Lepisosteus oculatus: one gene and its partners. The protein of the gene in region 1 binds, or shares a complex with, the protein of each later gene. Links are inferred from orthologs where the notes say so. Each region holds a gene or a part of one and is shown in the gene's direction. Other genes may lie near its edges. The genes, in order: axin1, dvl2 and gsk3ba.

The links.
Region 2: the proteins of axin1 (region 1) and dvl2 are in contact, whole or in part, in a crystal structure (PDB 6JCK), measured with the Homo sapiens proteins. The link is inferred for Lepisosteus oculatus from reciprocal best matches to the Homo sapiens genes AXIN1 and DVL2. Residues at the interface, in NP_003493.1 of Homo sapiens: Arg821, Tyr823, Lys825, Lys826, Glu830, Phe831, Val835, Val836, Phe837, Glu838, Glu839, Lys857, Glu859, Asp862; in NP_004413.1 of Homo sapiens: Lys15, Ile17, Tyr18, Glu23, Glu24, Thr25, Pro26, Tyr27, Leu28, Val29, Val46, Leu47, Gln48, Arg49, Pro50, Phe81, Arg84.
Region 3: the proteins of axin1 (region 1) and gsk3ba are in contact, whole or in part, in a crystal structure (PDB 4B7T), measured with the Homo sapiens proteins. The link is inferred for Lepisosteus oculatus from reciprocal best matches to the Homo sapiens genes AXIN1 and GSK3B. Residues at the interface, in NP_003493.1 of Homo sapiens: Glu384, Pro385, Gln386, Phe388, Ala389, Glu391, Leu392, Ile393, Arg395, Leu396, Glu397, Val399, Gln400; in NP_001139628.1 of Homo sapiens: Ile228, Phe229, Val263, Asp264, Leu266, Val267, Ile270, Lys271, Asn287, Tyr288, Phe291, Lys292, Phe293, Pro294, Gln295, Ile296.

Annotation. Positions count from the first base shown.
Region 1 is NC_090714.1:610,863-614,609, forward strand, and holds the start of axin1 (axin-1), read left to right. Parts: upstream 1-1,020; 5' UTR 1,021-1,167; intron 1,168-1,692; exon of another isoform or gene 1,693-1,865; intron 1,866-3,747. UniProt on the Homo sapiens protein: Component of the beta-catenin destruction complex required for regulating CTNNB1 levels through phosphorylation and ubiquitination, and modulating Wnt-signaling.
Region 2 is NC_090698.1:8,841,203-8,844,949, reverse strand, and holds the start of dvl2 (segment polarity protein dishevelled homolog DVL-2), read left to right. Parts: upstream 1-1,401; 5' UTR 1,402-1,611; coding exon 1,612-1,772; intron 1,773-3,747.
Region 3 is NC_090710.1:19,227,228-19,230,974, forward strand, and holds the start of gsk3ba (glycogen synthase kinase-3 beta), read left to right. Parts: upstream 1-1,426; 5' UTR 1,427-2,306; coding exon 2,307-2,394; intron 2,395-3,747. UniProt on the Homo sapiens protein: Constitutively active protein kinase that acts as a negative regulator in the hormonal control of glucose homeostasis, Wnt signaling and regulation of transcription factors and microtubules, by phosphorylating and inactivating glycogen synthase (GYS1 or GYS2), EIF2B, CTNNB1/beta-catenin, APC, AXIN1, DPYSL2/CRMP2, JUN, NFATC1/NFATC, MAPT/TAU and MACF1.

The DNA of each region.
Region 1 (3,747 bases):
TATCCAAATCATCAATTCATTTGAAGATTTCTTAAACCCCCAATCTTTTCTGTGAAGACATGTTTTAAATTTTCCTTTTTGAGAATTTGGGGTGTTTTTCTCTCTTCGCGATTGCAGTCCTGTATTACTGTGAAGTCCTTGCTCCCTCTTCTTTGTCCTACAGCAGGACAGGACAGAGGGATCTTGCAGTGCTTCCTGTGCCCTTTAATCCGTGTTCATCCCACAGCGCTAGAGGAGCTCCTAACTTCCAGAAGTGTTAGAGGCGGACGAGGTCATTGCTTCAACTTTGTAAAGTCCTACACAGAGCGAAATATACTTCAGAGCAGTGATGCACACTAACTCAGAACACACACCTTACAAAATCTAGATTTGCACGCAGTTTGCACACAGAACAATTGGGTTACAGAATGAAAAGAATAAAAACATTTTTGTTCTGTAAAAAAGTCCTTTACTTTGTCAAGTCTGTAAACCAATATAGTATTTGTAGTTTTCCTCATCTTTATATAATATTAGAATATTACAACATTATTTCAAATAAAATCATTTCTGCTTGGAAAAAAGTCTGTAATTTCTAAGTTAACAGTACATAAAAAATACACAATTTAGCAAAGGTGTCCACGATTCTCTTTGTGCCATCAATCTCAGCATATTTGAAGAGAAAGCATTAACAAAGTTACATAACCCTGGTCGTACTGCCAGGTAGCGTCAAAAGGACAATGAAAATTAACATTTCAACAAGCCTGATTATTTTTGTGTTTAGTCGGACTGGCAACTTTTCTTTATAGCTGTAGACACACACACCACCTCAACAGTGATGAGTTCAACTCAAACTAAAGGCTAGATGCTGCTCTTTTGAATAAAAAATCCATGAATTTCTTCCTTTATCTCCATTTTGCAAACATAGCCTGTTTGGTCACTGTAAGAGGCAGCTCCCAGCGCATTATTGAAGTACATTTATCCACACACAGATGGGTTTCAAACATGCACGCACAAAACCCGACACCTTTATGCAAAATGTTTTCGTGCAGCATCATCGACACAAATGTAAGTGGCAGCCGACGCGGAGGCTGCTGGACAGTGTGAGTGGAAAATCGGATCTTGTGGGAAGGGTTTGCTGGGCTTGACCCTCGCTGCCTCAGACAAGCGAGTGTGAAATCCACATGAAAGGTAAGCAGCTGATAACACTTTGGTACAAAGGGAATATTATTTCTTTTTCCCATTTTTTCCCCTTCACTTTTATCTTTGAACCCTCTCTTGTCTTGTTTCACCTTTTTTGTTGTTGTTGTTCTCCTTTGTCTCTTCGTCTTCAATAAGACACGTACCAGCCTCTTGATTCGAAACCAAACTCAACTTTATTCTTTATTTATGAACGCAGCAAGTGATACTAGCGGATGATAGGAAAAGCATTATGTTACCAAGTCTCTTTCTTTTTTTCCTCTGCCTTTCTCGGCGCAGGCTGGTCCATTGATCGAACTTGCTCAGCTTAGCTGTTATTTGAAAGCCAATTGATTTATTTATTGTCATTTATACTCTTAGTGTGGAGTACAATAAAATGCTGAAATAGCGCCTTATTTTGTATGTTTATCCAGCAATTATGAGCAAATCACTCATGCCTAAGGGGTCTGTTGCCATAGTTACAATAGGGTTCTAAGCACTATCATCTGGTCCTTGCGTCATCCAATCAGGTTGGAGAGCCAAAGCTGCAACATAAAGTAAAGATGCACATCTTTCAGCAACACAGTAGTAAGAAACAGAAACAGGTTCATGAGTATAAGTAAGTACTCAGGGTGGCAAGTAGGCGACTGCGCCCAGTCATGGCGGAACACGAAAATCAGACCCGACGAACTACTCAGCAGGAGAGGCAGGTGAGAGCATCGTCCCTACCGATTTAACTCCCTTCATTCTTCTTCGAAAAGTGCTCTGTGAATCAAAAACACAGGGACAGTAAACAAGATTAGTCTTTTAACGTTCAGCTTCCGAAAAAAAAAAGCGAGAAGATGAATGAAACAAGGGAAGGGGCAGGGGCGAGCGGGTCGGCCAGACTTTAAAATTATTGTTGTAGGCCTTTCAGATCAAATTTTGTTAAAAACAGCGCCGTCAAAGCACTCCAGCTGGGCTCTCGCATAGTTCCGATATATTTTTTCCAATTCTTATGTTGGGAGAATTAAGCGACCAAGTCAGTTTGGCTGAATGAGAGTGTGCGTCTGTGTGTGTACAAAAAAAAGCGGGCCTAGATTAATCATAGTATTCTAAATCTCATTACTCGGAACATCTGAGAAAAGATATTTTCAAAAGCCTCTATTAAGGAGCTGTAAATGGAGGCCTTTATGAGATCAAAGGCACTTGAACTGGGACGAATTTTTGTTTGCAATCCCTATGTTTAAGCAAGGCTTGAATGTAGGCAGCGGATCTGCCGGACGGCAGCGATGGCCAGCCTGAGCTCCATATCCCAGAGACCTCCTGCTGCGCGGCCCGTGAGCCTGTCGATACTGCAATGTGATGTCAGTCAGAAGAAAGAACCACCATAACAATCAGTGGGGAAGGAAAAAAGGACTCGCAAACGAACCCAGTTATGATTAAAGATGGCGGCCATACATACCGCAGTGTGCGTAACGCGCCACGGTCTGTAAAAAAGCAATCGGAAACCGTTTTTTATTCGGAAAACACCCGATAGAAAAATACAAACATTGGGTAACTCCATAGATCAGGCTAGGAGTCGGGATCATGCCCACAGCTTTCCCAGCTTGCATTCATCTTGAAATCAATTGTTGTGCTGTGGAGTGCTTTCCTATGGTAGGTGCGCTGTTGTTGTTTTCCTAGTTTTCGTGCCTCTTGCGGACTTGGCTGCAGTCAGCCAGCGGATTTAACTGGGCAGCACAACAATGGCTCGACTGCTATCAGCGCATCTGAAAACTAACACACCACAGATCATGATGAGCTTTCGTGCTTTTTTCCTTGTGTTCATTCATCATCAGGCTTTCCTTGTCCAAAGTGTACCGCCTTTGGAGGCACAGCTCTGGGTTAGAGTCAATACTGCCTTTCTCCAAATACACTAAATTAACAGAAGGACATCACCCGGTTTTGAAGATGTATGCATATTTTTCCAACGTAGTTCTGTAATAATAAGCAAAACAATATTAAATAAACTCTAGGAGGCAAATCTTTTAATCCACTGTGGCTAATCCACTCTCGGGTTTGCTAGTCATGAGATATTCAGCGATGACAAAAGACATCAGCAGGAGTCCAGAATACATTTTGTGACAGTCTTTTGGTACTTTTGCTCTTTTAAGACAGCACTAAAAAAGAGCAGCATATCAATACTCAAACCCACAAGTACTCCTTCTTCTTTTCATTCAAATAACTTCATTAGTCTTGATCAAAATCAAAAGATTTCAGACCAGCATAGTGTAGCCCAGATCCCCAACTGTGATGAAAAATCTTCTTTTTTCTGTTAAAAACAACAAAATAATCTGAGATGAATTAGTAGTAGGATCACATCATCTGCTTCACAATGTTACTTATAAACTAGCCTAGTCGTGTGAATTTATTTAAATTATTGTTATTATCACATACGAAAATTACTTCTTATGCTACCACATTGTGCAGTGTACCTGTAGATTTGTTTCAATAAAAGTGCATCTTGAAAATGACATTTTTGAATGTACAATAAACTTACATTCCTTTTAATGTCTAAATGGCCCTATTGTTGAATCACTGGCCTTTCTTAAGATAAGCCTATTTCAAGCA
Region 2 (3,747 bases), on another chromosome or scaffold:
GCCGTGGCTGTCTATACAATACTTGTGGTCTGTGCTCTGCTGCTGGTTGCCGTGAGGAGATCAAGATCTTTAATCCAGAACATAAATCTGTAAAATTTGACAGTATTTTAAAAAATAAATGGGTTCTTTTGGAGTTTCAGTTTTTTTTTCTTTGACAATCATGCTTTGCTTCTAAAGACCTGTCTTGCAAATGCAGTCCCCCTAATCTTGAGGTGTTTGCAGTTGGCTCACTACTTGAAGTAAGAATGGAAATAGTAACTGCACAGTCTGGGGCCTCATAGAGAGAACCTGTTCACACTGTAGAAACCCTTTCTTAAGAGGATATGGGGCTAAGTTTCTATATTTCTGAGGCAGAAGGGTCTTCCTGCACATTGAAGGAGTCCTACTAAGGCTAAGGGGTATTGAAGAGAAACTGCCCTTTAGGTATTATGGATGCCAAGATCTTTCTTTACTGAACAGCTTCTGAAGTAAGCTGGTGTGCTGTTTTGCTGGAGGAAGGGTTGGGGGTCTTACGGAAAAGGACAACTATTTTAGGTTGTACAAAGACCACCAGAGGAGCTGCCTTCCACACCCACTGGTGGAAATCGGTCAGCCCTTGTAGCTATAAGCACTGGGCCAGGTTCATGGGGGGAGGAGAAACCTCCTTCAGAGTTTATGGAGTCCTGTACTTCACCATAACCAACTGGGCCTCTGGTACCACCTGCAGCAACCTTGGTAACAGGAAGTGATGCAGCAAATGGTCACATGACCGCTCCCAGGAGGCTGGTGACAACTGATGTTTTTTTTTGTTGTTGTTGATTTGTGTGTGACAATTCAAAAGGGATGCACATAACCGTTTTTTTTGTCATGTGCATCCCTGCAGCAGTAGAGAGGTGACATGGGGCCTGGAATAAAGTTTCTTTCCTGTGGTGGGGGAGACAGAGGGGAATTGTGCTTTGTATAAGGAGTACTGGCTGAAACTCTAGAGGAGCATCTGTTCACCTGGAACCCCAAAGAAATGGGCTTTTCGAATTCACTTACTGTCCCTCACAAGGTGGGTGATTTAAGAGCGATTCGCAGGGATGCAGCTTGAGGAGGAGGGAATTGCGCGACCGAGGTTTCGCCAGCGCTCGTGGGTGTAATTTGAACTTGCTGCCGGCTGCAGCGCAGGTCCCGAGTGAGGATTGGGGCGGTCTGTGGGCCTATGGCCTCTGCGCTCCCGCGACTAGCCGGCACACGTGTGGGGAAGGGGGCAGGGGGCACGTCGGCCAGGACGCAAGCGGCGTCCACCTGACGTCAGACGCCGCGCTGGCTCACAGAGAAAGTTTTTTTTTCCCTCTCTCACTCTTCTCCCCCCCCCTCCCCTCAGTTGTTAGAAAGTTTTTGTTTTGATTTTTTTTTTCCGGCGTCCGTCTGCCCCCCCCCCGCCCGCCCGCCCGCCCGCCCCTACTCCTTTCCTCCGTCCTCCTCTGCTGTGGTTCGGGAAACACGGCAAAAGTTGAGGGGGTGGGAGAGCGGAGAAAGTTCAGTTTGTAACCTTAAAGCCCGGCGCGCACGACACCGATCCAGCCGCAACAGCGAGCTGGGTGTCCGCTCGGCATCCCCCGTCGGTTCGCAGAAAAGAAGTTGGAAATGGCGGAGACGAAAATCATCTACCACATTGACGAGGAGGAGACGCCGTATCTGGTGAAAATCCCCATCGCCGCGGAGAAAATCACGCTGCTGGACTTCAAGCAGGTCTTGAACAAACCGAACTACAAGTTCTTCTTCAAATCTATGGATCAGGATTTCGGGTGAGGGCGATGCGTGTCTCGGGTTGTTACCGTACGGGAGGGCACGGTGCAAAAGTACATCTGTTGGATCAGTTATAAAAAACACACACACACACACGAAACGGATTTAAAAATGTGTGCAAGGGGTTCTCTGCCGGGGAACGTGGCTATCGTGCTGTATTTTTCCCCTAAAAAATGCGGGGCTGTATCTTTCGGGCGCCGTTGGGTAGTTTCAATGAGAATTCATTTTTGGACACGAGAAGGGCATCGGGTGCAATTCGAGGGGTTCCTTGCGCTCAGGTCCCCCGTCTTAAATGGAGGTCGGATTAAGAAGGGGGGGGGTAGATTTTGACCCTTTGCGAAGACGCGCAGTTTGTTTTATCTAGGGGCTTGGAGCACAGGGGTCGAACGAGGGAGGAGGTAAATTATTCAGCTTTGTATGTGCTTGCAGAGGTGGAGGTGTTCGTCTTTGTTTCTGAAACTTGGCTGTGCTTCCCCCCCCCCCCGTGCTGACATTCCTTGGGGATTTAAGGAACGAAAACCTTTAAAAAGCTCGCGTACGCTTCCTCCCCCACTAACAAAATGGGAAGCACGTTTCGGCAGAAACATAAGGTTTCCGTCTTTTTTTCTGGGGGGGGTCGGGGAAAATCTACAGTAGATTTTTGCGAGACGCCTTCTGCAGTCCAGGAAAGTCGTCCTCATTTTTTTTTTGTTTTCCTCCAGACTGACTGTAATTAAAGAAAATCAGCGAGTGTGGACGTGGGGTGGCGGTGTAGCCTGTACCCCCCCCCCCTTCCCAAATTGTACCGTTTCTCTCTCTCTCTCCTGTGCTGTGTTTGTCTGTCTTTGCAAAGAAAAAAAAGTAGGAATTTCTATTATTCCGGCGAACAAAACGAACAGCTTCGGCTCCCGAGAAGGAGTAAAAAAAAAAAACCCACAGACGAGAGAACTTTTCTAAGAGGGATTAGTGCTCTTTTTCACTACCTGCTTAATCCTTTCTTTTTTCTGTTGTGAAATCTTTTTTTTTTGGAAACTCCGCCAGATTTCTGCCTCCCAGAACCCCCCTCGCTCCCTCCCTCTCTCTTTTTCCATTTTTCGAGAGCCGCTTCCTTTTAAATGACCTCGTTCATTTCTACGATTTCCTCAATTCGGGGCCGATTTGAGGATTTAGGTTTCCTGCTTAGACGCCGAAGGGAGATCTCTTCAGATCTGCGGCCCCGGTCTGCAGCTTTTTTTTTTTTGTTCTTGGAAGCCCTCTCTCTCTCTCTCCCAGGCGTCATGGCGGCGCTCACCGCTGCCTCCCAGCTCCAGGGGGGTCTGGCCTTCAGTTCCAGACGGGGACACCCGTCTGTGTGGAGTTAGCATGTTCTCTTCCCAAATTCCCACTCGCCTCTCCCAGGAAAACGCCCTCCCCCCTTACCCCCTCCCCCCAGGGTGTGTTTAAAGAAATTTCATCCGTTTTGTTTGTGAGGGGATTCCCAGTACGAGCAGTTCTGACTTGGGGACTTGAGGGAAAAATTGAAGCACGTGAACTCAGTGAGCAGAATACTGTCTTGACTCGTTTGCTTCAGTGGCAGGGTGTTGGTATTGTTCTGTGTGCATGTGTGCAGTGCACAGTACAGCTAGGGTTACATTGAAGGAAGTAGCTCGAGAGGTTATGCTGGTTTTAAACTCCTTTGTCATGGTATTCATCAGCTTTGCTTAATGGCTTCAAATGTTCCGCAGCTCGTCTGTCACATGAGTGCAGTCTGAGAGTGTCCTGATAATGCAGTCGCTGTACGTGGTGGCAGCTCAGAGGAGCCACGCTTGCCCTCGCTTTGTGTGTTACCACCCGGACTGCTCATGACTCGCCTCTTAATAACGGGAACAATAGCTTTTACTTCGAAAGTGCCTTTCCAAACCCACAGATGGCATATGCATAGTGATAAAGAAAAATCCCAAAAAAGTACGATAAAAAATAAATAAAACGAGAATTTGTCTCGTCGCGTCTGAGGAA
Region 3 (3,747 bases), on another chromosome or scaffold:
TAAATATTTTTAAGCCATATCTTAAAGCAGCCATATCACCCTGCAACTCACAACTGGTAACCCACTGAAGCTAAGCAGGTGTGAGCCTGGTCAGTACCTGGATGGGAGACCTCCTGGGACAAACTAAGGTTGCTGCTGGAAGAGGTGCTAGTGGAGCCAGCAGGGGGCGCTCACCCTGTGGTCTGTGTGGGTCCTAATGCCCCAGTATAGTGACGGGGACACTATACTGTAAACAGGTGCTGTCCTTTGGATGAGACGTAAAACCGAGGTCCTGACTCTCTGTGCTCATTAAAAATCCCAGGGCGTTTCTCGAAAAGAGTAGGGGTGTAACCCCGGCGTCCTGGCCAAATTTCCCATTGGCCCTTACCAATCATGGCCTCCTAATAATCCCCCTCTATGAATTGGCTTAATTACTCTGCTCTCCTCCCCACTGATAGCTGATGTGTGGTGAGTGTACTGGTGCACTATGGCTACCGTCACATCATCCAGGTGGTGGAGGGGAGTCCCCATTACCTGTAAAGTGCTTTGAGTGGAATGTCCAGAAAAGCGCTATATAAGTGTAAGCAATTATTATTAACAAACATGTTAAAACCTAATGAATGTCTTCACCAGAAAATAACATAAGAAAGTTTACACAAGAGGAGGACAAACACAGGTGGGAAGCTTGTTTTAAACTCCCACAAATCTCTGTGGTAAGAAATTCCTATTCTCCTTGTGTTCTATTTTAAATGCAGTTCCATGGTGTTCCCAGTTGTTTCATTTGCAGTATTGCTACACCCCCATGTTGATGTCTTCTGGACAGTTCACAAATATATTAAAGAAATGTTTCCTGTAACTGACACCTGCCTCACATTTGCGAGAGTAGACATAGAAGCAGAGCACATTTTTAGATATCTGTCCAAATTACCAACAGTTAGGTTAACCTTCTAAAGATGGCGCCCATTTTGAAGTACGCTAACGTAATTGACTCTAGCATGATATGGGATATCTATGGTTAATCTAGAGCGGCCTTGCTCTTTGCTGCGTAATTTGCACTCACGACCAACGAGATTGGTGAACACCCGGCGTCCTTCTAAAATTCGATTGGACTTTGCTCAGTCACTCCTGACGCAAACCCACCTCAGCCCGCCTCTGTTACCTATTTATGGTCGTTTTCGTTACAGCTGGTGGCATTCGGCTATCTTCGGAAAAATGGGGGCATGGGAGGTGGGAGGAGGGGGGGGCGCAGTCCCATTGGCCCTCAACCCCCGGATCTCTCCGCCCGTCTCGCTCCAGATTGGCTGACAGAACCTCCTCACGTCTGCTTGCGCGTTCACAATGTCCGATTCTCGCACAGCAGCTACTGCAGTCTGGTGACGTAGCCCACGCTGTTCGCAATTAGCCGTGGCGCCTTTGTCCGTACATTACGCAAATGACGTTGTGCGGGTCGGAGTGACAAAGAGAGCGAGCACAGAGACAGACGGAGACGGAATAGAAAAAGAAATTCTGAATTTGTGAGAGTGGCAAAATTGCTATTTCCCACTTAACTAGGCATCTAAGGCACTTTTTCGACCCCCGGCTTTATCCCAGAGAGTTCAGATTATAACATCTGTGTGTATGGGGCCGGAAGAGGCGGAAGAACTGGGGAGATCTTTTGATTTAAAATCGGGAAATTGGAAATTTTTCATTTGAATTGTTGGTTGGGCTGAGCAAGGAAGCCGCCATGGCTGAAGCTGTCGGATCATTGAGTCTCCACCTCAGAATATGAAGCAGATTTTCGTGGCTGCCTTGTGTAATCGGCGATATTTTAAGAGAAAGTTTGCGTTTTAGAAAAGCAAATCGGATCCGATTTTTTAAATAAAAAAGATCTAAGCGACCTTGTGTTCCTTAAAATAAATTAAAGGGAGTTTTTTTTAAAAAAAAAGATAGAAGATACCGTGGAGGGGGAGGAGAGAGAAAGGTTAGCCGTTTTCCATGAGACACTGGGAAATCAAAGACGTTTTTCTTTTGAAGGCCTGATCGTTGGAGCAGGAGGAGAAGACGAAGCAAGGAAAGGGGCCTTTTTTCCCTGGGAGAAAAAGGGATGATTTGAAAGGAGACCCGGGTCTGGGTGGACAGGAGACGCCAGGAATCGAGTGAAACCGGGAAGGGGCCGAGAGCCGTGGGGAGCTGCTTCCGTTTGCCGAGATACGCTGGCCGTCGGCTCCGACCGGGGGGAAGACCGCAGCGACAGATCTGATCCCAGCAGCAGCAGCAGCGGCCGAGAGAAAGGCGGCGAGAGAGAGAGAGAGAGGGGTGGGGGAGACGGAGATCGGTGAAGAGGGATCATGTCCGGACGGCCCAGGACCACCTCCTTCGCGGAGAGCTGCAAGCCGGTGCAGCCGCCGTCCGCGTTTGGCAGCATGAAAGTCAGCAGTAAGTGTCACCCAGCCTGCGTCCGACTGTCAGCGCCCGGGCCGCGCCGGCGGCGAGCGTGTGTCTGTCATACTGAATCGTGCGATTTGAATTGACGACGCTTGGGCTCTGGCTGTTAGATTTTTTTTTTTCTTGGGCGGTCGAGAGGTGATGGTGTTACTTGTCTATGCGGTCTATGGCGTTTTTATTCGGCGAGAAAGCCGGCCCCTTCGTAGCACGGTTGAGGTCTGACATCGGTATCGATAATCGATACGGTGCTTTCGATACGGAAGTGCATCCCTAATAAGCCAAACGTGCATTTTAATAATACACGTAGACGCTTAGAATAAGACCGCTAAGCGTAAGAGTAATGTAGAACCAGTTGTTCACACGGATTCGTGCAAAATGATTTTGATGATCATGCTGCACAGTCTGCGATGTAGCATCTGTCAGGCGTTAAAGCTACAGGCCGATTCCTCGCTGATAATCAGTTCTGTGTGACTTCATCGAGGAAGTGGATTGGTGATAAACCAACAGTATTGGAGAGACTGGGCTCCGAGTGTCTGCCAGAGTAACAAGGCGAGCGTAGTGTGCAACCGTATTTCACTTAATGCCAGAAGGACACTTCGACATCCTTTAACTGCTGTATTTGTTGTCCTTGCTATAGCTCAAAAGAAAATAATTCACGACAAAGTAAAAACAGTTCCGCACCACAATTTTAACATCCCCTTCCATTGACTAGTTGTGTGGGTGGTACTGTACTGCCTTTGCTATTTCAAGCAGTAGAATTATTAATACCGCGTTTCAGTGCTGGTGTCGGGCACCCTTCCACATATCTCACGCGGGAAAGAAGACGGCTTTCTGTCTGAGGAGCTAGGTGGAAGTTTGTGTTTGGCACAAATATGTGTCATACTGAATTTAGAAGACAAGCTTGCAACAACGGGGAGGGAAAGAGAGTTCCGCGTTTTCCGCAGAGAAGGGGCAGGGGTTTTGAATGTTGTGGTTAAAGGCTGTGAAAGATTGCGTTGACTGGTGTATGGGTTTTCAATATCACGTTTAATGTTTGAAAACTTGGTCTGAGGTGTGTGGATTTAATCTGTTGAATGTTCTTTGTGTGTGGATATGTGATGCTCCTGGTCCTGGACAGCCTGGGGTATCATGGTTTTCCAAGCTGTCTTTAAAGTAGTAGTAACTCAAGAGCTGGGCGGAGCTGTTGAACAGGTCCAGTTAAGCCGTTAACTAGCTGGTGTAGCTCGTTAAGAGATGGAATGAAAACTGCAGACGCACTAGTTCTCCAGGACCAGAACTGCACACCCCCAGTTTAGTGTTGCCTCATCCTTACCAAATGATAGGAAGCTGAACCTGGCACCAGTG